3 linked regions of the Oreochromis niloticus genome follow. Each later gene encodes a partner of the first gene's protein in a complex. Links are inferred from orthologs where the notes say so. Each region holds a gene or a part of one and is shown on either strand. Other genes may lie near its edges.

Region 1 (7,463 bases):
AGCAAGTCTTCAGGTGTTTTAGCTCTCAGTTGAGTCCCTCACCCTCTCCCGCTCCTCGGTCGAGTTTCCTGGATCTTAAAACTGGTGAATAAGCACCGGTTTCTTGTACACCTCTCCACCCCTCCATATTCTTCCACTGGGTTTGCTGTTCAGCCTTCACTCTTTGGGTAACCCACTGCGTGTTTTCTATATAAAACTCATGTGGGCCCTATGTAGACTAGCCCATGAAAAGCCCATAGCAGTTTGGCTATTCTGGGGTTTCTGGGCAACCGATAATCAACTTATCCTCAGAAAAAGTTCACTGCCCCCCATTTGATTTAGGCCCTACAGTAGTTTTACCCTTCAGGCCCCCCATGAGTAGGCAACCCACAATGGGTGTGCCCATAAGAGACTGATGTAGAGCACAGGGGCTATCGACCATGTGTGGACACACCCACTTGGGTGAAGAGGCCATGCTACCAGCAGGTTGGCTTCATGCTAAGCTAAGCTAGCGAATACCTAAACATACAGTGAAGATTAGACTATGAAATAAGACGTTACCGTTAAGTTATTTATTAAATTGAGTACACAGATAAGCTACACAAAACACCACTGTGTTTTGTAACTGCACCGCAGAGAGACAACACCAATTCCTCATCTCCAAAGCAACCTCCGTCTCACCTGGACTCCAGCCCTTTGGCCCCTCCTCCGTTCGTGTCTGTGGGAGGTCCGATGACACATCTGGATTTAATCATTAGTTTTTATTAATCTCTGGGTCTCTTTCACAGTCTCTGTCCTGTCCACTCACCCCAAAGCAGTTGCAGCAATGGCCTCCCCACCCAGAGCCTGGTTCTGCCAGAGGTTTCTTCCTGTTAAAAGGGAGCTTCCCACTGTTGCCAAAACGCATATGTCATATGATTGTTAAGGTTTTCTCCGTTTTCTCTGTATTATTGTAGGGTCTTTTTACCTTACAATATAAAGCGCCTTGAGGTACAAATGGGATTCGAGTAGTACCCAGTAGTTCAACTTTTAGTTGAATTGTTAGTTTGCATGCATATCGATCCCTCTTGATCGATTGGTTCATTTGCACTTGTGGATCAGTGGATTTCAGTTTGTGTGCCAGAGAAGGAAAATATTGTCTACAGCATGGATATGGATATTACTTTTATTTTTTTTTAAATGACGCAAGGTAAAATGAGGTAGGTAATTATGAGACAGTGTGTTTCAGCTATTTTATCAAGTAACAAGTAGGGTAACAAATTACTTTTAAGAAAAGTCTTCTGTGTAATATGTGTAATACATTACTTTTTTTGACTAACGACCCCAAGACTGATCACAACAAAGATGAGAAATACCTCGAACATGCACAAACATCTGACATGCACACAATTCATTTGCAGAATATAATGTCTTTGATATGTTGCTGAGTCCCAGAGTGAAACCAATAAGAAACCAATAAAACCAGCAGGTTTAGGAACAGCTTCTTCCCCACAGCTGTCACCCTACTGAACCCTGCTGACCCTTTCCATCCACACTCACTTAACCCTTCTATGCTCCTCCTCCCCCCATCCCTCCCAATGACCATGATCATGACTGTCATTCATTCTCAACATTCACCACATGCTCACATTGGTTGCTGCTATAGTTTAGGACACTGACAGAGTCTCTGTTATAGTGCCTACACTGTTCACTATTATGGTCTGTTCAGAGCTCTACGCTTCCACTGCTGTAGATATATTCATAGCACTCTCTATATCTGTTTACCTCACACCGCTACATCTGTATATCTGTCCATCTGTACAGCAATATAGAACATCTGTATGCTATAGAGATTATCTGTATATACATATACATATGAATACAACATTAGGTCTGTACATCTGTATATTTGGTCTCTACTTAACTTATCTGTATATAAGCTGCTCTTATTGCACTTACTGCTCTTGCACTTCTGATTAGATGCAAACTGTATTTCTTACCCTGTATTTATACATATGTAATGACAGTGAAGTTGAATCCTGATTGTTTTTGTGATTTGGCACTATATAAATAAAACTGAACTGAATTCAAATAAATTAAATTTTGAATTGAATTAATTAATATATAGTGTAAAGGACCATACACCCATGGGTGTATGGTCCTTTACAATTAATTAATTCAGTGAGCAGAAAGGCCATGACACACACGCAAGAAAGCGAACAACAACAAAAACAGGTAAATGGGCAGCAGCAGCAGAAGCATTGAGGGAGATGAGTTTCAGGCTCAGGCTGCTGTCTCAGTGCAGAGTTTCCAGCCTGAGACCTCCTGTGGTTCTTGTGCTGACAGAGTTAGAAGAGCAAAAAGACAGAAAATGCAGTCCACACCTGTACAAGCTTGGAATAGGTAAGTGCATCAGGACATGAGGCGTGGTTGATGATGTTTGACAAGTGTCATCAGTTACTATGAAACCGTGTAATCAATATATACTAATATTGTAATATTGTATTGTAAGATTAGTGTGGTACAGTTGTTTAAAACTGTAAGATAAAACAGATGCTAATAATCATCAGGACCACAAAAGCAAAGCACTGTTTACAAAACTTCCTACATTTGCTATTTTAATCTTTATTTACAGCTGTATGTCACAAAAATACAGTTTTTCCCCTGATTGTTGTGCAGTTATCATTTTATCATAATAGGTCATAAGTAAGTTTTGAAGCCCTTTTTTTCTGATTTTATATTGTTGGTTGAAATAACAATAAGATATAATCATTTATCATTAAGTGCTTATTCCTGGTTAATAATATGTTTCCTAGCCTAACCTGTCATCTGTTTAAAACACTACTAATTTTCTGTGGAAAAAACACTAACATGTTTTCATTCACAAATTCATATGATCTAAGGACGCTGATAACATACAGTGTCATTCTTCAAAAACATTTTACCTTTTACACGTGCATGTCAAACTTATGCGCTGATATGGGCGCGGCTAGCGCATTTTGCCGACTTCCGGGAACTAATACGAGGAATTAACCATGATGACGCGCGTCTCCAATCTACGGCTCTGTGTAGCTGCGGAAAGGAGGTGGGGGGGCTTTTCATAAAGACTGGTTGGTTGGCAGATAAAACATGGCAGGTCAGCGGACCAACAGCCTTTGAGGAAGACAGGAAAACCCTCCCACCAAGTCTCTGGATGGTGCATTTGGGTGAAGCTAACCAATTTAGAAACAAAGTCTTTTAATGTTTTAGTAAGCGGTTTTCTACGGAAGCGTAGAGCTGCCACCCAGGCAAAAGAAAAATAGAAGTATATCACGTTATAACGTGATATACTTCTATTTTTCTTTTTTCTCTTTTTTCTCTTATTTGCTGTTGCATCTTGTGATCATGTTCTGGAGTTTAGTTTAGTTCCACTTTTTGTTTTTATGAGTATTTGCTTTATTGTTTTAATCATAGTTCATTGCTATAATTCTGAAGTAAATATTCTTGGTAGAATTTCAGCTGCTCAGCCGCACAGGCTGCCATTTTTATACGTTTTCTATGTTTCTATGCACTGTGTTTATCTCCCAACACTTATGTTACTGTGCAGCCATGATGATTTAATACATCCAAAATATGGTGTGACACTGTCATGGACTTCTTAACAATGTGTTATTTTAATTTTTTTTCTCTTCCCCCCCCCCACACACATTTTTAAGTATGTTTTTCTTTGTTAAACTGTACATTTAATAAATTTAAAACACATTTGTTTGAAAAAGAAAAAACACATTTTTTGTCTGTGTCACTGGGCTCTTTGTAATTATTGCTTTTATACACAGCAAATAATATGAAATAAGAAAAACATAGAGCCGATTAATAAAAATAACAATAAGTTGTTGTCGGTGACACAATAGTGAATCACAGCCCCCTTTGAACCAGTAACAGCAATAGAATCAGTAGACCAAAAACTAGATAGAGAGATACTTTATTGAGCCCACAAGGGAAACTGCTGCACCTGGTGAGAGCCTTATACTATGAGATTTATAGGAATGATAAAAAACAAAGAAAAGTAAAAATTAAGTTAGTTAAAAACAGTAAAAGTAAGACTAACATTGTGTAAATGATGCAAAGTGCAATGAATTATATGTACACTATAAATCTCAGAAATACACCTGCATGAAGGTATAGTACAAAAATTGTTTTGGGATCATCTGAATGAATAGTTATGACACAGCATTATAGAGAATAGTAAGAACCAAGCTGAATCAATCTGACGGAGAGGGAGCTCTGCTGAATCATAACTGTGGAGTAGAGACGGTGTGATGGGTCAGGGAGACCGGTTTGGAACTATTTGGAAATAATTCATTCAGTGTCCATCATATGTTCTTTTAGTACTTTATTTTTTTCTGATTTCATAATTACACTTACATAGTTTTACTTTAATAACATTTCAGATGTAGTATTTCTATTTGTAACAGAGTAATTTTAAACGGTGGTAGTAGTGCTTTTAATTTAGTGAAGAATGCAGATTAAGCGAAACCGTAATATTTCCCAGCTCGTTGTAGGTCCGTGAAGTACACGAAAACTTGGTCAACAAGCCGCCAGTGAGCGGCTTTTCAGCCCGGGACTTCTTCCTCAGATTGGACGGCGTATTATCGCTTCTTTGTTACACAACTCGGTAAAGACCATCAGAAACGTGTTTTTAGCTGTTCTCCACTAGGAGCGAGTGGATGTGGGCTTTTTTGATTTTTATTTTACTCTCTAAGAGTTGAGTGTGTCGATTTACACGGTGAGGAGTACACTTCCATGTGGTCAGATTATCAGCGCGTCTAACAAAAGACCCGCTCACCTCCTCTTGTCTCCTACCACTCGGTTAATCTCCGCCGCGTTCACAGTCCGGGTTCCGGGTTTACTTTACTTTGATGTGTTTGGTCAGAGTTTAGGTCTGATATTCGGATATTGTGATCCAGTTTCCTTCTTCTTATTTTCTAAGTGCGGCCGGTGGAAGCGGAGCTGAAAGATGCCGCTTCTCCACAGAAAACCCTTCATCCGACAGAAACCCCCGGCGGACCTACGACCAGACGAGGAGGTGTTTCTCTGTAAAATTACGCACGAAATCTTCAGGACCTACGAGTAAGTACCTTACAGCCACTTGTCTCACCTGGGGGGTTCTTTAAAGAGTCACTTGAACTGAAGTTTGAACTATGTCTCATTGACAGTTGGTGCTTGGCAAACTTCCAAACAAGATGAACAAAAAACAACTTTATTGTCTTGAAAAAAAAAAAAAACCAAGAAAACTTTTGTGGGCTTGCGCGGGGGGATGCATGCCCCCCCTTCTCCCGCGCCATTAAAACGTAGGTTAAAGCAGGTAGTCGGGTTTGAAGGTGGGATTTGGCAGGTGTAATGTTATCCAAGTCAGTTAGCCAAATGAAGCTAAAGTGGGTTAGCTGGGTAAGCTAACACTAAAGCTGTCAGTGAGCCGGCGGTTAGCACAGCTAGTTTTAGCTGTTAGCTTGATGTAGTGAGGCTCGGTATCCGTTCATAGTTCAAGTCTGTTGCACCCACCTGCTGAGGTCCAGCGCACTAAAAGTGCTTTTTAAGAGCACACATGAAGTTTGCGAACTTACTCGGTCAGTTTTCCGAGGGGAAAAAAATCAAAGAAGTTCTCTGCTTTTACTCCAAAGTGAAGTTACAGTTCCGCTAAACTCGACGTCAGTCTGAAGATACTCGGGCCAAATGGACTGTGGACGTCTTCAGCTGACTGCTTCAGTATATCGTGGCAGATTTGAGTACAAATTTTAGGTAACTGTACTTAAACATTATATGTAACTTCATACATCTGCTCCATTGTAACATAGTGGCAAATATGACACGACAAGTCCCAACTTCTGTTTTTTCTGACAGCTTTAGCAATAAAAAACGGTGCAAAACAAAAAGTGGCAGACCTCAAATTTGCATTCAAGTAAGATAAACCTTTGCCTTTATTTGGCTTTTTTATATAGAGACATGCTTATATTTTTGCCATAGAGTTATAATATGTGCAGATTGTACTAATTTTTCATTTGATGAAGTTAACATGGTGTAATCACTGACTGCATTTACATGTACACTTGTATTTCTGAGCATTATTCATATTGGCATACTGTACAAGTCTTAGAGGAGCCTTTGTTATGATATTGACAAAACTGAAAATTACTTCTGCATATAATTATTATGATTGATGGATCTGCTGGTTTGTTTTCTAGATTAGCACCTGCATATTTGTATCCCTCGTTCCCACGTATTGAAACAGTTCCCAATATTTTAACTGCCTCTAGTTAAAAGTCAAAAAGCCAAGTAGGTTCAAAAAGAGATTCACATTCTGTGGACGTCTTCTCACTGAAACCCAAAAGTGACTACAAGGCAGTTAACAGATGTTGCATAATTGATAAAGGCAAGCTTGGGCTTCCTAATGTGCGTTTTGGGGGGCGGCGGTAGCCTAGAGAGATGATTGGGAAAATTAAGTTCAAGTAAAACAAGAACATACAAAGAATGTAAAATTACACTAAAGAAGGAGCAAATATATCTGTCTACGTATACAACTGATGACACACCTGTAACCTGTATCATTTGTGTTTATTACGCTCTCTGTACAAATGTTTGTTGGGATCTGTTCTCCCTTTCTGGGAGCTAATCAGATCATTTGATTAGTTTTAATCAAGTAGATTGTAAATCTAACAGATTTTAATAAACTATGAAGAAACAGAGTTTACTAAAGAAACTTGAAGTGTTTCGGACACACAAACCTTACTTGGCCAGTCTCTCCTGCTACATTTTTCAATTTTGGATTTTAATATATACTTTTAATTTGTCTTGAGACAGCGTTGCATTGGCTTTAGTAAGGGATACCACCCTCAGTCTTATTTTGGATGTTTGTCTGCTTCATAACAGTTAGGCTGTACGGTACAAGCCTGTACTACAGAGCAGAAGGTTGAATTATCCAGATAACTTTACTGTTAACCCTGGAGCTTTCTGGTTGCCTAATGTTTGGGACAAACACAATATTTATTTATTTATTTCTGTACACCACCACAGCCTTTTGTAAATCAAACAATATAATGTTGAAGTGCACACTTGCAGTTGTTGTGGGGTCTTTAACTTAACATCTAAAGTGTCTTGAGGTGACTGTTGTTGTGTTTTGGCTCTACATAAGTAAATACATGTAAAATTCAGTGTCTGCCTGAAGTCTACAACCAGTTTCCTCCTTTGCATTGGTTTGCTGGACCTTTACTGCAGCCATCTTCAGTTGCTGCTTGTGGGTTATTCTGCATTCAGTTTTGTATTTGACCTCCTTGGACCTGGCGTCCACATATGTGGACATCACATTTTGGGTTATTTAGACCAAAATACTAAAGTTTGCTCTACAAGGGCCTGATATCCACTTACAAGGACATTATGCTGCTACTGTTCTATCGAAATTTTAAACGAATATCCTCATATGTGGATCTCATATTTCTTAGAAACAAAAATCAGGTAAAAAAAAAAATCAG
Region 2 (8,173 bases), on another chromosome or scaffold:
CCTGGGACATCAAAAGTCCTCAACAACTCCTGACGTTTTTCATTCATTAGTTTAGATACATAATTAATATTATTTTGGATCCATTTCTTGTAAAACATTGATTTATTTTTGTATTTAATGTTTTTGTTATTTCAAATAAGAGATTTATGTTGGGAAAATTTATGTTTGTAGACAAGAATAGAATAGAATAATGCCTTTATTGTCGTTGTCACATGTCACATGTCACATGTATAACGAAATTAAAACTGGAATAAAACATAAATAGCAAGACAGCACCAATAAATGACAAACAGGAAAAATTAACACAATCAAGAGGAATATAGACAAACCATAGGAATATATATAAAACAATAGAACAGCACACATTGGAGAAAAAAGTGCTTGGAAGTAGTTGAACTGATTGAGGTCAGTTGGTGAGGAAGTCTTTGATCCAGGAGCAGGTGGCACAGGGGATCTGAAGGTGAAAACACAAAAACGTGCAGAGTAGAAGCCAACATGATAATGCCTGTCTGTGAAAAATAGATAAGTGAATGGGAATTTTGTTGACATCAAAATCACATTTAAGAAGGAATTCTTAAGGTTTGGTGTTAAATATCATAATCTATGTTTGTCTCTAATGAAATATTTGATCCAGTTCATCTTGAATATCACATCTGATGTATTGAAATCTAACATATTTAAACCCCCTTGATTATAACGATTATTTAGTACAGATCTATTTAAATAATTATATTTATTTTTCCAGACAAAATTATAAAGTGCAGAATCTATGAATGATTTAGGAACAGAGATGGGCAGTAACGCGTTACTGTAATCTGATTACTTTTTTCAAGTAACGAGTAATGTAAGGGATTACTATTGCAAAAACGGTAATTAGATTACCGTTACTTTCACGTAGGAACGCTGCGTTACTGCGTTACTAAAACCGTGATTTTTTGCGAGAACGTCTCATGACAGTGACGTAAGCGAGTGCGACGTTCGTGACAACAGCTGTGTGCAGATCATAATATATCGAGTGCGGGACAGAGTGTAGCATGCAGCGTTTAAAGCGTGGAAGTACTGACCTTATTTTGAGTTTGATTCCATAAAAAGTGACAAAAACATGTGTCCGTTGTGCGTGGGAAGAAAACTTCTTTTTACAGCGAAAAAAACCCTAAACTTCCAAGCAAGCACCGAGTGTACCACGACGTAATGTGAAATTCACAGAGAAACTCGCGGATTCTTCCACTGACCGCTGCAGCACACCTGCACCAGGGTAAACCTCCGCCTACCCCAGTCCTGCTTTACAGGTGAAAATAGAGCAACAGGACCGCTAGTCTTTGATTTTATTTATTTTCTGCTGTGTTTTACTTGCATCTATTTGAAAGAGTGAGTGTAAACACACAAAAAATTTTATTTTATGTGCTGGAATGTGCAGAAAATAGGTTTAAATGTTAAACAAATTTCTTCCAGTCAGAGAATGTTGCATATAATTTAATTTTTGCTTGATGCATAAAGTTAAAAGATTAAAACTAATAAAACAAGTTTTAAAAAGAGACTTTTCCATTTGATTACATTTTGTATGATGAATTATGCAGAAAAAGTAGAACTGGCCTGGAAGATCTATCGCTTTATCACCTATTCAGGTTGTAAATCGTGTTTTTAAAAAGTAACTAACTAAGTAACTAAGTAATTAATTACTTTTGAAAATAAGTAATCAGTAAAGTAACGGGATTACTTTTGGGGGGAAGTAATCAGTAATTAGTAACTGATTACTTTTTTCAAGTAACTTGACCAACACTGTTTAGGAACATGTATTACTTTTGCAGGATATACTAAGTGACATAATCCCTCTGTTTTAGATGAAAGGATTCTTTCCCAAAACACTGATTCTGTTCATTTGGACGTAGTGTTTTCACTCAACATTTATACACATTGTTAGAGCAATGGCTGCAACCTACAGCCTTTAAATCACTGAGCCATGATTAAAATGCTGTCTGTAAACACATCAGTCCAGATGTTACCATAATAACTTTCTGATACTTAAGTGTTAAAAGAACTGAGAAAGGGTGATTACAATGATAGCTGTCACTTTTATCATTCCTTATATTACTGCCCTCTGCCAAGGCAGAGAGTAGAAATGACATTACTGATTTAAGTTCATTTGTTGTAATTACACAAGAGGACACATTCATTCTCAACTAGACACAGCCTCTGACCACGGTATGTTGAATCTTAGCATTGAATGTTCAGTATATGTAGCATTTGACCATTTACTGCACCTACATCACTTATATGTAATCAATGTGTGGTAAACATACAGATAGTGAAATTTAGTTATTTATAAATTATATGTAAAGAAAACCAAAGCTGAAATGGATTCAGTTTTTTAATTTTCCAGTGTGCCCTGGCTATAAAGGCTCGGAATGCTGTGATGTAAACAGTAAATAATGTGGAAATACACACAACTTTGGCCCGTGAAAAATCTGATCTTAGATTGTTGAATATAAACAATGAATGCATGTAAAGCAGAAACTGCACATCCAGCATCAAGAGTTTGGTAAAGTAGCATGAGTACTGTAAAGTTTTGGAGGATCCTGTTGAAAGTCACACACGCATCACACCACATCTGCCAAATAAACTTTCACTTTATACAGTACACTGTTGAAATTCAGTTCTGTCCCAGTTAATTTTACTGTAGTTAGTCAGTTAATGGATGTCACTGGTAAATGAGTGGTGAATTTTACTTCAAGTGTTTTTAACGAACTGTTTCTTGTTTTTGAAGAATTCATCAGCAGATGTGGAGAGATGTATTTAATTATCTTTTGTTCCACTTTTCCTTACCTGAAGCTGAGGATGGCTTCATCCTAACAAAGAGACAAACCTCAGCACTTTACGTAGGCGTCACATCCTCCGTGCAGCAATTCCAGAGAGAGATCAATGACCACTTGTTAAGATCAGCCAAAAATCTGTCCCCAAGCAAGATAACAGGGAACAGACAAAATAATAAATGCCTTAATTTTAGGTAGATGATGATGAGACCTGTGGCAGAGTTCACATCCCTGAGCTGGTCTACAGAACCAATAAATCCAACGTATAATAAGAAAGTTTACATTTGTAAAATGCTGGGTTATGCATGAGTTACCTCTGACCATGTGTCATCATATTGGGATATTACATTCTGCCCCTTCATTGCGCTCAGTTAAGTGCTTTAAACTCTGTTAAGATATAGCAGCTTTGGGTTGTACCTTTTAATTGAAGGTGATTAGGAGGAGAAATTAGAAATGTAAACACCAAACCAGATTTTGGGTGTTAGCAAGATGACCTGTGATCAAAGGGGTCAGTTTCACATATTATGTAAGAACTTTTATTCTCGCTCAGTTTTAGTGAGAATTTCCGCATCTAACAACGACTTTTTCAGCCTCAAAAAGTTGGTTAAATTCAAGTGGACACAACATTTTACAGTGGGAGAAAAATTACACAACTCATCCGAGAACACTTAAGTAACTTGGATGCGTAATAAAACATTTTTGTCATGGAAAAATTTCCAGAGGAACTTTTAGGCATATCCTTACCTGGGAATAATTCATGCATTCAGACATCTGTTGTAGTTTTTTTCAGTTAGCATTTCTCTTTTCTTATTCTCAGCCTTAGCAAAAAGTTTTTAAACTATCTGCCAATCATCAAACCAGAAGATTATTCAGCCAGGTATTATTCTTGGGAGTTAAAGAGTGAAACTGAGCTCAAACAGTGAATTCACTTTAGATTGGAATTCATACGGTTGAAAAAATATACCAGTTTAGCTGGATGAGGATGTTTTCTTTGATGTCTGCTGAACGTGTAATTAAACAAGTTTAGACTTGATATTCACCTGGTCTGCACATTAACATTCAGTATGACTAGTGATCTGTACATTTACAACATAATGCAAAATGGAAAAAAGTCATTTATGTGAATAACTTTACTCTCCCTAAATATAACTCATGAAACAAGTAATAGTACAAATGTGAGGAAGTTACAGACTTCATTCTTAATAACTGTACATGACTCTGTTAGAAATGATTTGAATTGTGTGTTAAAGGAGAAACAGATTAGGAGGTAAAGCAGAGGACACAGAGTCAAACATCACTGAGGCAGTCTCTCCTGCAAGGTTGAAGGTCTTCCTGTGTGGGAGCTTGATGCTAAGTTCAAAGTGCTGTCAAAGCTGTAACATCCTCCATGACTGTGGTATGGAACAGATGTGGGTGTTTCGTCATCTCCCTGAGTCCAAGTTGTTGTCAACAAGCAAACCTACACACCCAAAAATCACTTGAAAGTGTCCACTTGAAATGATAAAAGTCAGCCAAAATATCAGCAGGGATTTAATAACATAACTTTATAAAATGAGCTCATTATATTCATTATATACATCACAGCATTCAGGGCGTTTATAGACACACACTACAGAGCACACAGAGAAAATTAATCAACTGAATCAATTGGTCTTCATTACATACATTTTTATTAATAACTACATTTCATTATCTGTATCATTACCACACATTTGACTACATACAGGTACTGCAGGTGCAGTAAATGGATAAATGTTACACATTGCACTACGTGGGACATTCAAGGCTAAGATTCAACATACTGTGTTAAAGGCAGGGCTGGACTGGGACAAAAAAATCAACCCGGGCATTATGACTAGAGTACCCACCAGGTATTATAGGAAAAGCTATAAAGCCTTTGAATGGAAACAAATGCTGTTGTAAAAATAAGAATTAACTGTAATTCTTGATCTTAGTATGTTCCAAAATGGAGGATATTTCTATCGTTGGTATGAAATGCTTCCTTATTAGTTAACTTGTTAATCACAAGTCCTTGATGAAGACTTTCATATTTTATTTCATTTTTTATACTGTGAAAATTAAACATTACACTTACATTACACTTTTACGACTACTCTTGAATTTTTGCTCAGTTTTATGCATTTATTTGTATCAAAATATTTTTACATAATGACTTTTTTGCACCCGTTAACAGCGGACATACGTCACAAGAAGGTCAGAGGTCGAAGTTTATTGCTGACGTAGGAGCTTCGTGGTAGTTGGAAGATTCGCGGGAAATGTCTGAAAATAAGTCGACTCTGACGTGAACGCGTACAATTTCAACCGGAGTTTGTAGTTGAACCTTTCAGACTTAACAGATAAATATCAGTGTCTTCATATAACGTACGCCCTGAAACGGAGGGAGTTTTATCGTGGGGTTGCTGAACTGAGTAACTCCACGCACACAGCATTGTCAACGACGCTAATCGGTTAGCTCAGCGGTAACAGTCCTCCACAGCCTTTTAGCAACGATAACGGCTAAATCTGTTCTCCTAGAGCGGCGGAAACAGCGGTGCACATACAGCGGGCCCAGATAAATGCACATTAAACAGTGAGAACAATGGCAGAGAGGCCAGAAGACCTGAACCTTCCCAACGCGGTAATCACCCGCATCATCAAGGAGGCGGTGAGTGTGAACATCGAAAGACGATAGCAGTCACAATGTCGCGCGCGGTTTGTCTTTTTGTTTGTTTTATACACGCTGAGGATGCTTAAATACGCCAAACAAATACAGGACGCAATTCTGGGAGGTCGCCGGTGACCCAGGTTAACTGTTTTTTACGTTAACCGGTTAGATTTGCTTATGTATTCCACTCTCCGTTTTTCAGATGTTCCATCCGCTGTCTTTCTGTAACATAAATAACGTGCTGACATTTCCCTCACGACACCACCGATCAGCTCGCCGGTGTTCCAGATTATCTGGCGTGGCAAATTAACTGGTGACTGTCGAACAGATGTGTGGTAGACTTGCTTTTAAGGAGCCGCTACCGACAAACCAGCAAAAAAACACTAAATATTTCATCTGTGACATTTGTGAGGTTATCTCAAACACAGGCCGTCCGCCTTGTTGCTGTTGAACAGCAAGATATTTAAAAATGTCGCGAGTTTACCTGGTGATATTCTCATGCACGAGGAGACCGCGAAAACCGCAAACAAATAAACGTCGCCACGCCGATACTGTTCACAAGACAGCAAAAGTAAACGATCTGGAGAATCTCGTCTTCGTTATCGTTCCCCTCGTACATTTTATTACTCCGATTTCAGCGTTTTCGCTTCACAACTAAAGCGTGCAGTTTACTTTGTGTGCACTCAAATTGAGTCGAGTCAACTAGCGTCACCTGTGGCCAAGTGCCATAGTCTAGAATCTAGACTCTAGATTAACTTGTAACACACATCTGCACCACGTTTGAATTTGTTTCGTGCACAATACGTTTGTAACTTTCATTTTTTTCTGTTTGTGCGTCTTGCAAATAAACCTTTAAACTAAATGAAATGGTATTATGTAATTATTTTTGGCCAAATTATATACACAAAGTTATAGAAGTCACCACTCCCATTGTTCATAATGATTTTAATATTTTTTCCCATAAGGAGATGGCAGGTACTGTGAATTATTTATGTTTTTTCTGGACTTCCCCTGTACAGAAGGTGACTACAAATGTTCTGAATGCTAAATAAACAGGAAAAAAAAAAGATCCCTGTTGTCTTTGCTTAATGACTGGTTTTAGTCCTGACAATCCACATTGCTGGCATTGCATCTTTCCACATGTTTGGGGGTCGATTTGAATGCTCCAGGTGTAAGTGCAGCCGTGTCACAAGTTCATCTGGTAGTAGGCTATGGCACTTGGCCACAGGTGGCAGTAGTGGACTGAACTCCATTTGAGACCGCTCCAGCTGCTATGTGATACGTCAGTCATCACTTGCATCATATGCAAGTTCTGGAAATTAAATTATGAATATTCTTAGCTTAGCTTTAAAACAAAAAAAATCAAACTCACCTCAACACTCAAAAACTTATGACAAACCAACTGAGACACCTGAGTCACTCACTTTTTTAAATCCACTCACTCTCACAAGCTCTACTCAATCAGACTGGCTCTGTTTATTACTAATCACTGTGTAACTGCTGTAAATTCACAGTAACTCCCATCTCCTTACAAATGTTTGTTAAATTAACCACACTTATACAGACTGTATATAACTACCAACTCTCTCCAGCCATGTTGATGTATTACCTATATTGGATCAAAATGTTCATTTCCAGAGAAAAAACACAGGCAGACTATGCTAACAGGATGTGATGTTACAACACTAGGGAAATAGTAATGTGTAATATATTTGTTCAAGACATATTTCTTTGTTATGGAAAAAAATATTAAAATCATTATGAACAATGGGAGTGGTGACTTTCTACAACTTTGTGTATATAATTTTGCATTTCCGACTGATGTAGGCCAAAAATAATTACATAATACCATTTCATTTAGTTTAAAGGTTTATTTGCAGGACGCACAAACAGAAAAAAATGAAAGTTACAAACGTATTGTGCACGAAACAAATTCAAACGTGGTGCAGATGTGTGTTACAAGTAGACTATGGCACTTGGCCACAGGTGATGCTAGTTGACTCGACTCAATTTGAGTGCTCACAAAGTAAACTGCACGCTTTAGTTGTGAAGCGAAAACGCTGAAATCGGAGTAATAAAACGTGCAAGGGGAACGATAACGAAGACGAGATTCTCCAGATCGTTTACTTTTGCTGTCTTGTGAACAGTATCAGCGTGGTGATGTTTATTTGTTTGCGGTTTTCGCGGTCTCTTCGTGCATGAGAATATCACCAGGTAAACTCGCGACATTTTTAAATATCTTGCTGTTCAACAGCAACAAGACGGACGGCCTGTGTTTGAGGTAACCTCACAAATGTCACAGATGAAATATTTAGTGTTTTTTTTTTTGCTGGTTTGTCGGTAGCGGCTCCTTAAAAGCAAGTCTACCACACATCTGTTCGACCGTCACCAGTTAATTTGCCACGCCAGATAATCTGGAACACCGGAAATCCTGTTCACCTGTTTAACAACACTTGCTAATTCAGGAAACACAACTACATTAACTGGTGACAGTCACAGTTTAATGTGGGCAGCGGCTGATCAATATAACGTAATGTCCCACAATATTCTGCACAAAATAAGCGAATGTGGCTTGTTTCCTCAGTGCAGAGCTGCTGCAGTTTGTGTGCCCCTTCAGAGTGACTCATGTGGGTTCAGGGCTCGCAAAATTTCAAAATCCCTGGTAGCCCTTCGGGCAGGCACTCTTCAGTGTTTGGTA
Region 3 (8,102 bases), on another chromosome or scaffold:
CCACCTCACACCCTCACCCGTCTGGCTGGGGCAGGAAAGCAGTCCCAGATGTGGATTTTTTTTTTCTTTTTTCTCTTTTTCCCCCTCAGTGAAGTTGGGCATAAAGACCTCGCTGTCTGGAGGGGGGTGGGTGTGCTGAACTTCACAGACTTGGAAGTCTCTTTATAGAGATGGAGGAGGAAGGGTGGAGAAATAAATAAACGACCACCTTCCAAACATCTTTTATGTCTCCTGGATAGATGTGAGCAGTTTGTCCCCAAGCTGGCACGACTGAAATGAAGCCCTGGACGCTGTGTTAAAGGCGTTTAAAGAGGCAGTGCGGTTTTTTCCTGCACCATAAGAACACATGTATTTGGCTTTAATGTTGCCTCATGTGCATTTATTTATTTGTTGAAAGCAGCTTACACAAAATGTGATTTTGCTTTTTGGGCCCTACATTATTACCGAAATTACTAGTAAAACCTGGCTGGTTTCCGGAGCTGAATAGTACCCGGGCATAACTGCACCAGCTTCAGGTCTAACCTCTTTTCTGTCAGCACCAGATCAGCGCAGTGATACAGGAAACGTACCTGAGGTGAGCGAGTTATAGGTTAGCTTTTTTAGAATTGGTTATTAATATAAGAACAATTACAAAACTCATTACCTCTGTCAGCTTTCTTCTGCATATGTGGCTACTCTGCGACTCTCTCAGCACACTGGAAGCCAAACTCCGTCCTGTAGAGGATAAAAGCAACCATTTATTTTTTTAAAAGAAAAGAAAAAATATTAATAAATCCATGTACAAATGAGCTATGACAGCATGTGTCTTTTCTGTCTTACCTTCTGGACTCTGCCTGGGCTTCGAAGCTGCCCAAATAATGAGATGACAATGAGCGCTAGTGATAAGACATTTCAAGTATTTCATTTCTAATAATAATAAAAAAAGAAGCTAACTAGATGTAACTTCTCACCGTGTTTGGACTGGAATTTGCCCATACTGTGATCAAGAAATGTTCACCATGTCCAGCCCAGAAAGGAAAAATAACTCAAGACATGAGGAAGAGTTTTCGCGGACTGGGAATTTCACCGACTACTCCAAAGTTTCACCGAGACGTTTATCCAAGAGTGCACAGGCAGAGAGAGGGATGACTGCCGCGCACTTCCTGCTTCGGTTAAATTCGGTTTGATTGGTTAGAGATCTGTGATACACGCGACCCAACCTTACGTCTGTAAATCAAAGTAACTGTTTTTATTGTGTGCGCGTTTAAACAACTCTGGACAGCATCCGACTGAGAAACGGACACAAACCACCGACTTAAAGACTTTTCAATGAGACGTTCACGGTCAGAGCTTCACTGACACAAGTGGGTTCATTCCAGTCTTTAGACACCACCAGTCTCTAACATTTTGACATAAATCAAACGTGACATTTGTTTAATCAGGATGCTAAAACAAAAAACAATCAGATCTCTCTGTTAATGTTTTTTTTTTTAAACATTTATTTGTATCATTTTTTTAAGGAACAAAAGACAAATCACAGGCAACAGTAGTGATGGAAAAGAGCTTTTTGTTTATTATCAAATACAAAAGTAACATTTCTATGGAAACTTGTTTCTGCCACTGGGAAAAAAAAAAAAAAGTGGTGTAAACAAGTTTCCATATGTTTCAGCATCACAGCTTGTGAATAACTTGTTCACAAAGCAATAAGACACATCCTTACCATCAACTTACAACTCGCCTTGAAATGTGAATTAATGAGCAGAAAACTCCAAAATCATTATCTCCTTAATAAATGAAGGAATCTCTGTATGCATTTTTCGTCTCTTCCCCTTCAAACTTGGCGGGTGTATGGACTGAGGCAGTGCCAAGTTTGATGTAATTCGGGGGGTGTCTCATTTGTGATGCTTCTTCCTGTTACTAGTCATTGAAAGACCCCGTCGCTCCTGTTGCTAGGCGTCACTAAAAACAAATGTCACATTTCAGACCGTCCTGTATCCTCACAGATGACACAGTCCTCCCAGATATCAGCGTTTATTACATTTAAACTTTATTTACATTTAAACCTCCACTGACTGCAACATCTACCACTGCAGATACTCTGCTGATGTGCCGGCAACTGCAGACCCTGCACTAGCATGATGAGAATGTACATTTATTTCTTTAAAAACAGAGTCCATGTCTTTAATCACAGTCCCACTAACTGCTGGCACTGACAGACTCTTTGACAGTGTGGGCCGGTGTGGGTCCTATGTGGGTCCAGATATAGCCTTTTTCTGGTCGTATTGGGATAGTAGGGAATGGGGTGCTCCGAGACTTGAAGTACTCAGAGGGGGCGTGGCACACAAACTCCAAATACTCCATCTTTCTTGGCAGATCCTCCTCTGGACCTATTGCAAAACATGTTTGTTTGTTTTTTTAAAGCTTAAATGAACAAATTCCATTAGAGCACTGCATGATCCAGAATAACTGCTCACCAACAATATAAGTGCCAGGATCGAACTGGTCCTTTGGGCTGGCTTGAGTGGGGATGAGCCACGTCAGTGCTGCACTTTTTTCACAGTACTGATCCTGCACAAAGCCTCGAATCTGAGCGTAGTAAGGCTTCCCGTCTTCTTCATCCGTTACCTTAATCACGTCTCCTATCTGGTAGTATACACCCTGTGATATATTGACAGTGATAAAGGATTAAGGTTTATTAAAGCAGTGATATAATTAATGCTTTGAAAAGATCAGAGCAATTTTAAGTGAAAGTATTGTTTCTCATGCCTGGCAACAATAAACACCGTACCTTATAAAATATGGATTCTGACGTGATGATAGTCGCTACGGATTCTGGTGCTTTGATTGGCTGAAAGGTTGGCACACACAAGGGTCAAACGCATGAACTCGAAAAGAAAGAAGAAAAATCTAATTTACATGATCAAACTTACATTTTTGAGTTTAAATATGTGTCGTCGTCCTTTTCCTTTGGTTGAGACTTTTTTCTCCGATGCAGGAGCTTTGTACTTGGTGCTTCTCAGACGTGCAGACCTTCTGTGGATCTCCTGCTTGGACTATAGACAAACACAAGAAGGGATCGGACAATTGACTGCAGCTTGTCAGTTGAAGAAGATGAAGAAAAATAAGCAATGAGACAATACTAAGACCAGTACTAACAACTACCAGTTTGTTTGTTAGTTAACTGATTAATCACTTAATATGAAAAATATTTCAGTAAAATGTGAAGCTATGTAATGTTTAAGGCATATAGTTTTACCCTTTAAGTTGGATTTCACTTGATAACAGACTGCTACATTACCAATTTTACTTAAAAATAAGGGTTAAATGATCTTGGGGGTTTGTTGAGATGTTTCGCCTCTCATTTAAAGATTTAAATACTTTCACTTTGTAGAACAAAAATGACTTTCATTTGAAGCATCACTTTTTATGTTCTCCCATCTGTATTTGGGCACAGGCTGCTGCACAAGAGCCTGAAAGTTGTGCCCAGTGCTTTCTCAGCCAATTATTATGATCAAATCTGCAACACCACATTTAAAACTCCTGGAGTCACACCGGCTTGTTTCTGTTAAACTGCTAAACTGTTTTACACATGAACAGTGAAGACTACAGTCTCGAAATGAGACCTGTGCTCTTCTAATAACTTTAGAAAAAATTCCCACAGACAGTGATCCTGAGTATTTAAACTGAAATAGAAAACCTTCCTATTTCAGCTGAGTGTGGTCTCCGGGAGCGCCATTATATTTTCCCTGTAGGATTATCTGTGAATGATGCAGCTGCAATGTCTGCACACAGCTCCAGCAGTCTAAAACAGAGCAAGAACCGCGCCTGAAGACAAACTCATGAGGCTTTACACCATCACAAACAGGCCTGGCTCTAATCTAGAAACACTGGGTTTCACTGACCTGTTTCCCTCCGCCATTGCTGGGCTGAGTGATGGAGGACAGGGAGGGTCCTGACGCCCCGCCGCTGGCGCTCTTTCCCGTGCAGCTGTTACACAGGATCTCTCCCTGGTTTCCTTTCTTCCACATCGAGGAAGAATTAGTCTTGCAAACGGCGCAACATGGTTTCAAACCCAGCGGCATCGTGGCCGCTTCTTAAAACGACGCCGGTGGGCGAAGAAACGACACAGAACTCACTGATAGGATGAAGATGCTCCGTTTGTGTGGCTGTGACTCCGACAGGGAGGCTGAAATCTTCCTTCTGTGGCACTTCGACTTTAAACAAACAGGTATGGCTCTGAGTTACTTGCGAGAACAGCCAAATTGATCAGAAACCTGGATTGTTTATATCTGTAGCCCATTTATAGCCACTACTAGCGGCACCATTCTTCTTCTGCGCTGGCGCCTGCCATCAGTTCTTCTTCTTTGGTTTAGATTTAGGTACAGGACTAAATCACGCGACGCCACTGGACTGGAGGACACAACGTTTAAAGAGGCAAGTGAGCTTGTGAGAGTGTGAAAATGTTGATTAATTTAAACCAATCGTGTTGTGGTAGTGATAAATTACGATTGGTTAAAACAACACAATGAGTAGGTAATATGTTTAGCTGTTTTTCTCAGATGCATAATGTACAAATTATTTATTAATTTGCCCGCTTGCACAAAATGAGTCTTACCGTTCCACTTTTTACTAACTTAATTTTTCTTTTACTTTTTTGAAATCATTGTTGTATATGTAAATTTTGATGTATAATGCCCTCACTATGCGCCTGTGACACTGCTGTTTATTTATTGTAAGTTGTACTATTTTTATTCATTATCCTGCTGTAACAAAGTTACAACAAATTTCCATTCATTCATCCACCCGTGTACAAAGATAAAAGATAAATATTTTAATTAAAGTGTTTTTATATATGTGTGTGTGTGTGTGTGTGTGTGTGTGTGTGTGTGTGTGTGTGTCAGCTTGTAAAAACCAGCCTCTCCGGCAGGAGGCGATGTTACAGCGTTGAGTCCGCCAGACGGTTTTAATCTGGTCAGACGAAGAAGAAACAAACCGCGTCACAGTTCAAAACAATACTTGGAAGTTCCGCTTGTCTCGCGCCCTGCTCTTATGAAGATGTCTCAAAACAGCTCAGGCAAAGACGACCAAGCGTCAGGCAGCAAAAAGCCGATCTCTCTGCCGATATCCAGGGTGAGGCTGATCATGAAGAGCTCCCCTGATGTCTCCAGTATCAACCAGGACGCTCTTTTCCTCACCACCAAAGCTACAGTAAGCTAAACCTCATCCGCAGCTCATTCATTTGCTAACACGTTTAGCACCGTTAGCTTGTCTAGGGCATGTGAGCTGAAGCAGCGCGTTTGTGTCTGTCTCCTGTTGTTTTGTTGTTGTTTTAGGAGCTGTTTGTACAACACCTGGCTCTATCCTCCTTCAACAACGGCTCAGGGAAGGAAACAAACAGCCTGTCGTACAGCGACCTGGCCAACACTGCTCAGGAGACAGAGACTTTCCATTTTCTCACAGGTAAGAAGCACCTGCAGGCACCTCAGCGGCCCTATGATGCACCAGCTGGTTACAGATCATACCTCAGACTGCACAGAGTCCAGATTGTTAGGAACAGTGAATTAATACTCCTGCCGTTGCTCTACGCACTGACTCACACAACGTCCGAATAATCGATTAATTTCCTGTTTCACACGATGTCTGAACCTACCTGCAGTGGCCTCACCCACAGTCTAAGAACTACTGTAATGATAACTGATCAGACTTTGGATTATTAGAGCGTTTAATGTGGTAACATAACCCAGCATCAGCAAGTGTAGATAAATGGGGAAACTGTGGTTCAGTTGTGGTCGTGTGTTTGCAGTTTCAAGGGATTTATGCTTCTGTTTCAAATCTACATCATAGAAACGCAACCCTAGAAATGTAACAGCTGTTCCATCACATTATTGTCTCCCCTAAATTGCTTTTGTTGTGTTTTGTGCACTTCTAGCTGCACCTCTCAGGTCCACTGTAAGGGACAAATATGTTTGTTTCCAAAAACAAAAACAAAAACAGAAAATAACTGACCACAACAAAAAGGAGAAAAAATAGCATTTTATTTGTTTCTGTCATAGCTGGTACTGCATATAAAACACTGGGACACCACCCTCAAGTAATAAACACACAAAACACCACAAAAGCATCAAGACTGGTAACAGCGTCAGCCACTTAAGTACATTACCCTGTAGGCTCTACAAAAAAATCATCGCAGAAGTCTAAAGGGCAAAATCTGGTTGAGCTGCGGTAGCATATTTGCAGTCCACTGGCAGCTTCAAACTAACTGTCTACCTGCAGAGAGCATCTGCTGTCAGATGCATCAAAAACATGTCATGTAACCGGTCTGTGGGTCTTTCTTGTGCTGTTGATGGTCCGTCAGCTGACTGTGGAAAAGAGTGAAGTTATAACATACAAAAACCCAAAGAGAAACTGAGTGTTAAAAGCAATCAAAAGTGTCCACTCCAGACATTGTCTGTGCTTTTTATTCTGTATTTCTGATCTTTGATGTTTTTTCTCCTCATGCTTCTCCCGCTCCTGGCCTGCCTGTTAACATGTGACCCTTGCAAAGCGAGCATTGGTTGACAGCCCCTGCCTGTAGCATCTCTGTGGTCAAATACAACAACAAACGGACATGATTCCATAAATTAAGCATAAGCAGGAGGGGTACATCAGGAACGGCATCTGATAAAACATTTGTACCAAATCAAACACGCAGATCAATCCGCTCTGGTTATCCCTTAGGAAATAAGGGAGCAGCTGACAGTACCTCCACCAGCTGAACACAAGAAGACCAAATTAATCGATTAATAAAAAAAATAATTAAATTAACTGATTAAGAAAAGAATAAGTATTAGAAACGCTGCTTGGTATGATGTAGTATAAACAAAAAGGCTCTAAAATCTCCATAAAACTAAAACTCATTTTAACAGTTTTAACAAAAATCAAAAGTTGTAACCTTCAAGAAAGGATGAGTTAGTTTAGCCAGCTTTACTTTAAGGATTATTTAAAGTAGCACTGTTTTTAAGTCTCTCAGGCACTGCTTTAACCCTTAAACACCATCAATAAGAGTTTTATCTCTCTCATAACTTCATTTTATCTCCTGTGGTGTTCTTGGGTCTGTATCCAAACAGCTCACACTCACTCACTGCTTTGTTACTTTTGAACGCCGGGCTGTCTGAATCCAGCGATTCAGGGGGTTTAAGGTGGAAATGCTCGGGCATGTTGCTGCTCGTTTTGCCTGTGATATCTGCGGTACTTCTGGCTGCTCAGTTGTTTTGGGAGAGGTCACCAGAGCGTGCATGTTTGATTTGGCACAGAATTACACTGGCTGCCCTTCCTGATGCTTTCCTTCTAGCCATTTATCCAGGCTGGGGGCAGAGACTAGGTGTACACCAGATTGTGTCCCCTTCTGTCGAGGCTTTGTAAGGCGAACATGTTAAACACTACACCGCGGAGCCACTTGTGCTCAGCATGTGTCTTCTGGACATATGATGATGTCAAGGTTTTAAAAATGGCTTTTCTGTAAAAACATTTTGTAAACAGTTTGTTATAATCTATAAAAAGTGAAATATCAGATGCATTTTAAATATACAGAAGCTTAAACATTAATGTGAAAGTAAATTTTAGTGCAGCTGTGCAGTGTGTCGACTCTTTGACAGCCAAGTTAAAACCATCTGAGTCTTCCTAATACTCTTGTGTTAATATCACTCACTGACCAGCAACAAAAAATGAGATCTTTTCCTTCAACTATGCATTTAAAAAAATTTTTTGCTTTGTTTTCCTGGACAGATATTCTGCCTAAGAAGATCTTGGCTCAAGATTACCTCAACTCTTTGGAGCAAATGCAAGAAGAAGAAGGAGCTGATTACTGAAACAGGTGGATGGTCCACATTTTCCATCTGGACAGATGTTATCACATCTACTCGTCCAGCCTGTCGCCGAAAGCAAAGTGACCGTCAGTAAAAGACACTTGAACTCTCAAGTTCATCTTCAGGGCTTTTGTAAGAAGTTAGAGGACATGGAACTAAAAGCAAACCCACACGGGGTCAATGTGAAATCAAGTGAAGACTCAAATTTCAACCCCCCCCCCCCCCCCCCCCCCAACAGTAAATGAAGTTCAGCGATCCTTTTCTGCAAACTGACAGATA

The links.
Region 2: baz1a (region 1) and pole3 share a complex: the UniProt entries of both Homo sapiens proteins name them as parts of the CHRAC ISWI chromatin remodeling complex. The link is inferred for Oreochromis niloticus from reciprocal best matches to the Homo sapiens genes BAZ1A and POLE3.
Region 3: baz1a (region 1) and chrac1 share a complex: the UniProt entries of both Homo sapiens proteins name them as parts of the CHRAC ISWI chromatin remodeling complex. The link is inferred for Oreochromis niloticus from reciprocal best matches to the Homo sapiens genes BAZ1A and CHRAC1.

What each region holds. Positions count from the first base shown.
Region 1 is NC_031983.2:2,740,735-2,748,197, reverse strand, and holds the start of baz1a (bromodomain adjacent to zinc finger domain protein 1A), read left to right. Parts: upstream 1-4,463; 5' UTR 4,464-4,612; exon of another isoform or gene 4,613-4,723; intron 4,724-4,927; 5' UTR 4,928-4,954; coding exon 4,955-5,067; intron 5,068-7,463. UniProt on the Homo sapiens protein: Regulatory subunit of the ATP-dependent ACF-1 and ACF-5 ISWI chromatin remodeling complexes, which form ordered nucleosome arrays on chromatin and slide edge- and center-positioned histone octamers away from their original location on the DNA template to facilitate access to DNA during DNA-templated processes such as DNA replication, transcription, and repair.
Region 2 is NC_031965.2:5,276,342-5,284,514, reverse strand, and holds the start of pole3 (DNA polymerase epsilon subunit 3), read left to right. Parts: upstream 1-5,014; 5' UTR 5,015-5,409; coding exon 5,410-5,475; intron 5,476-8,173. UniProt on the Homo sapiens protein: Accessory component of the DNA polymerase epsilon complex. Participates in DNA repair and in chromosomal DNA replication.
Region 3 is NC_031985.2:21,144,946-21,153,047, reverse strand, and holds the start of chrac1 (chromatin accessibility complex protein 1), read left to right. Parts: upstream 1-4,943; 5' UTR 4,944-5,028; coding exon 5,029-5,187; intron 5,188-5,312; coding exon 5,313-5,439; intron 5,440-7,743; coding exon 7,744-7,826; 3' UTR 7,827-8,102. Other genes in the region: protein naked cuticle homolog 2, read right to left, coding at 644-714, 820-846, 951-975; gatad1 (GATA zinc finger domain-containing protein 1), read right to left, coding at 2,176-2,366, 2,454-2,637, 2,768-2,827, 2,910-3,032, 3,882-4,061. UniProt on the Homo sapiens protein: Forms a complex with DNA polymerase epsilon subunit POLE3 and binds naked DNA, which is then incorporated into chromatin, aided by the nucleosome remodeling activity of ISWI/SNF2H and ACF1.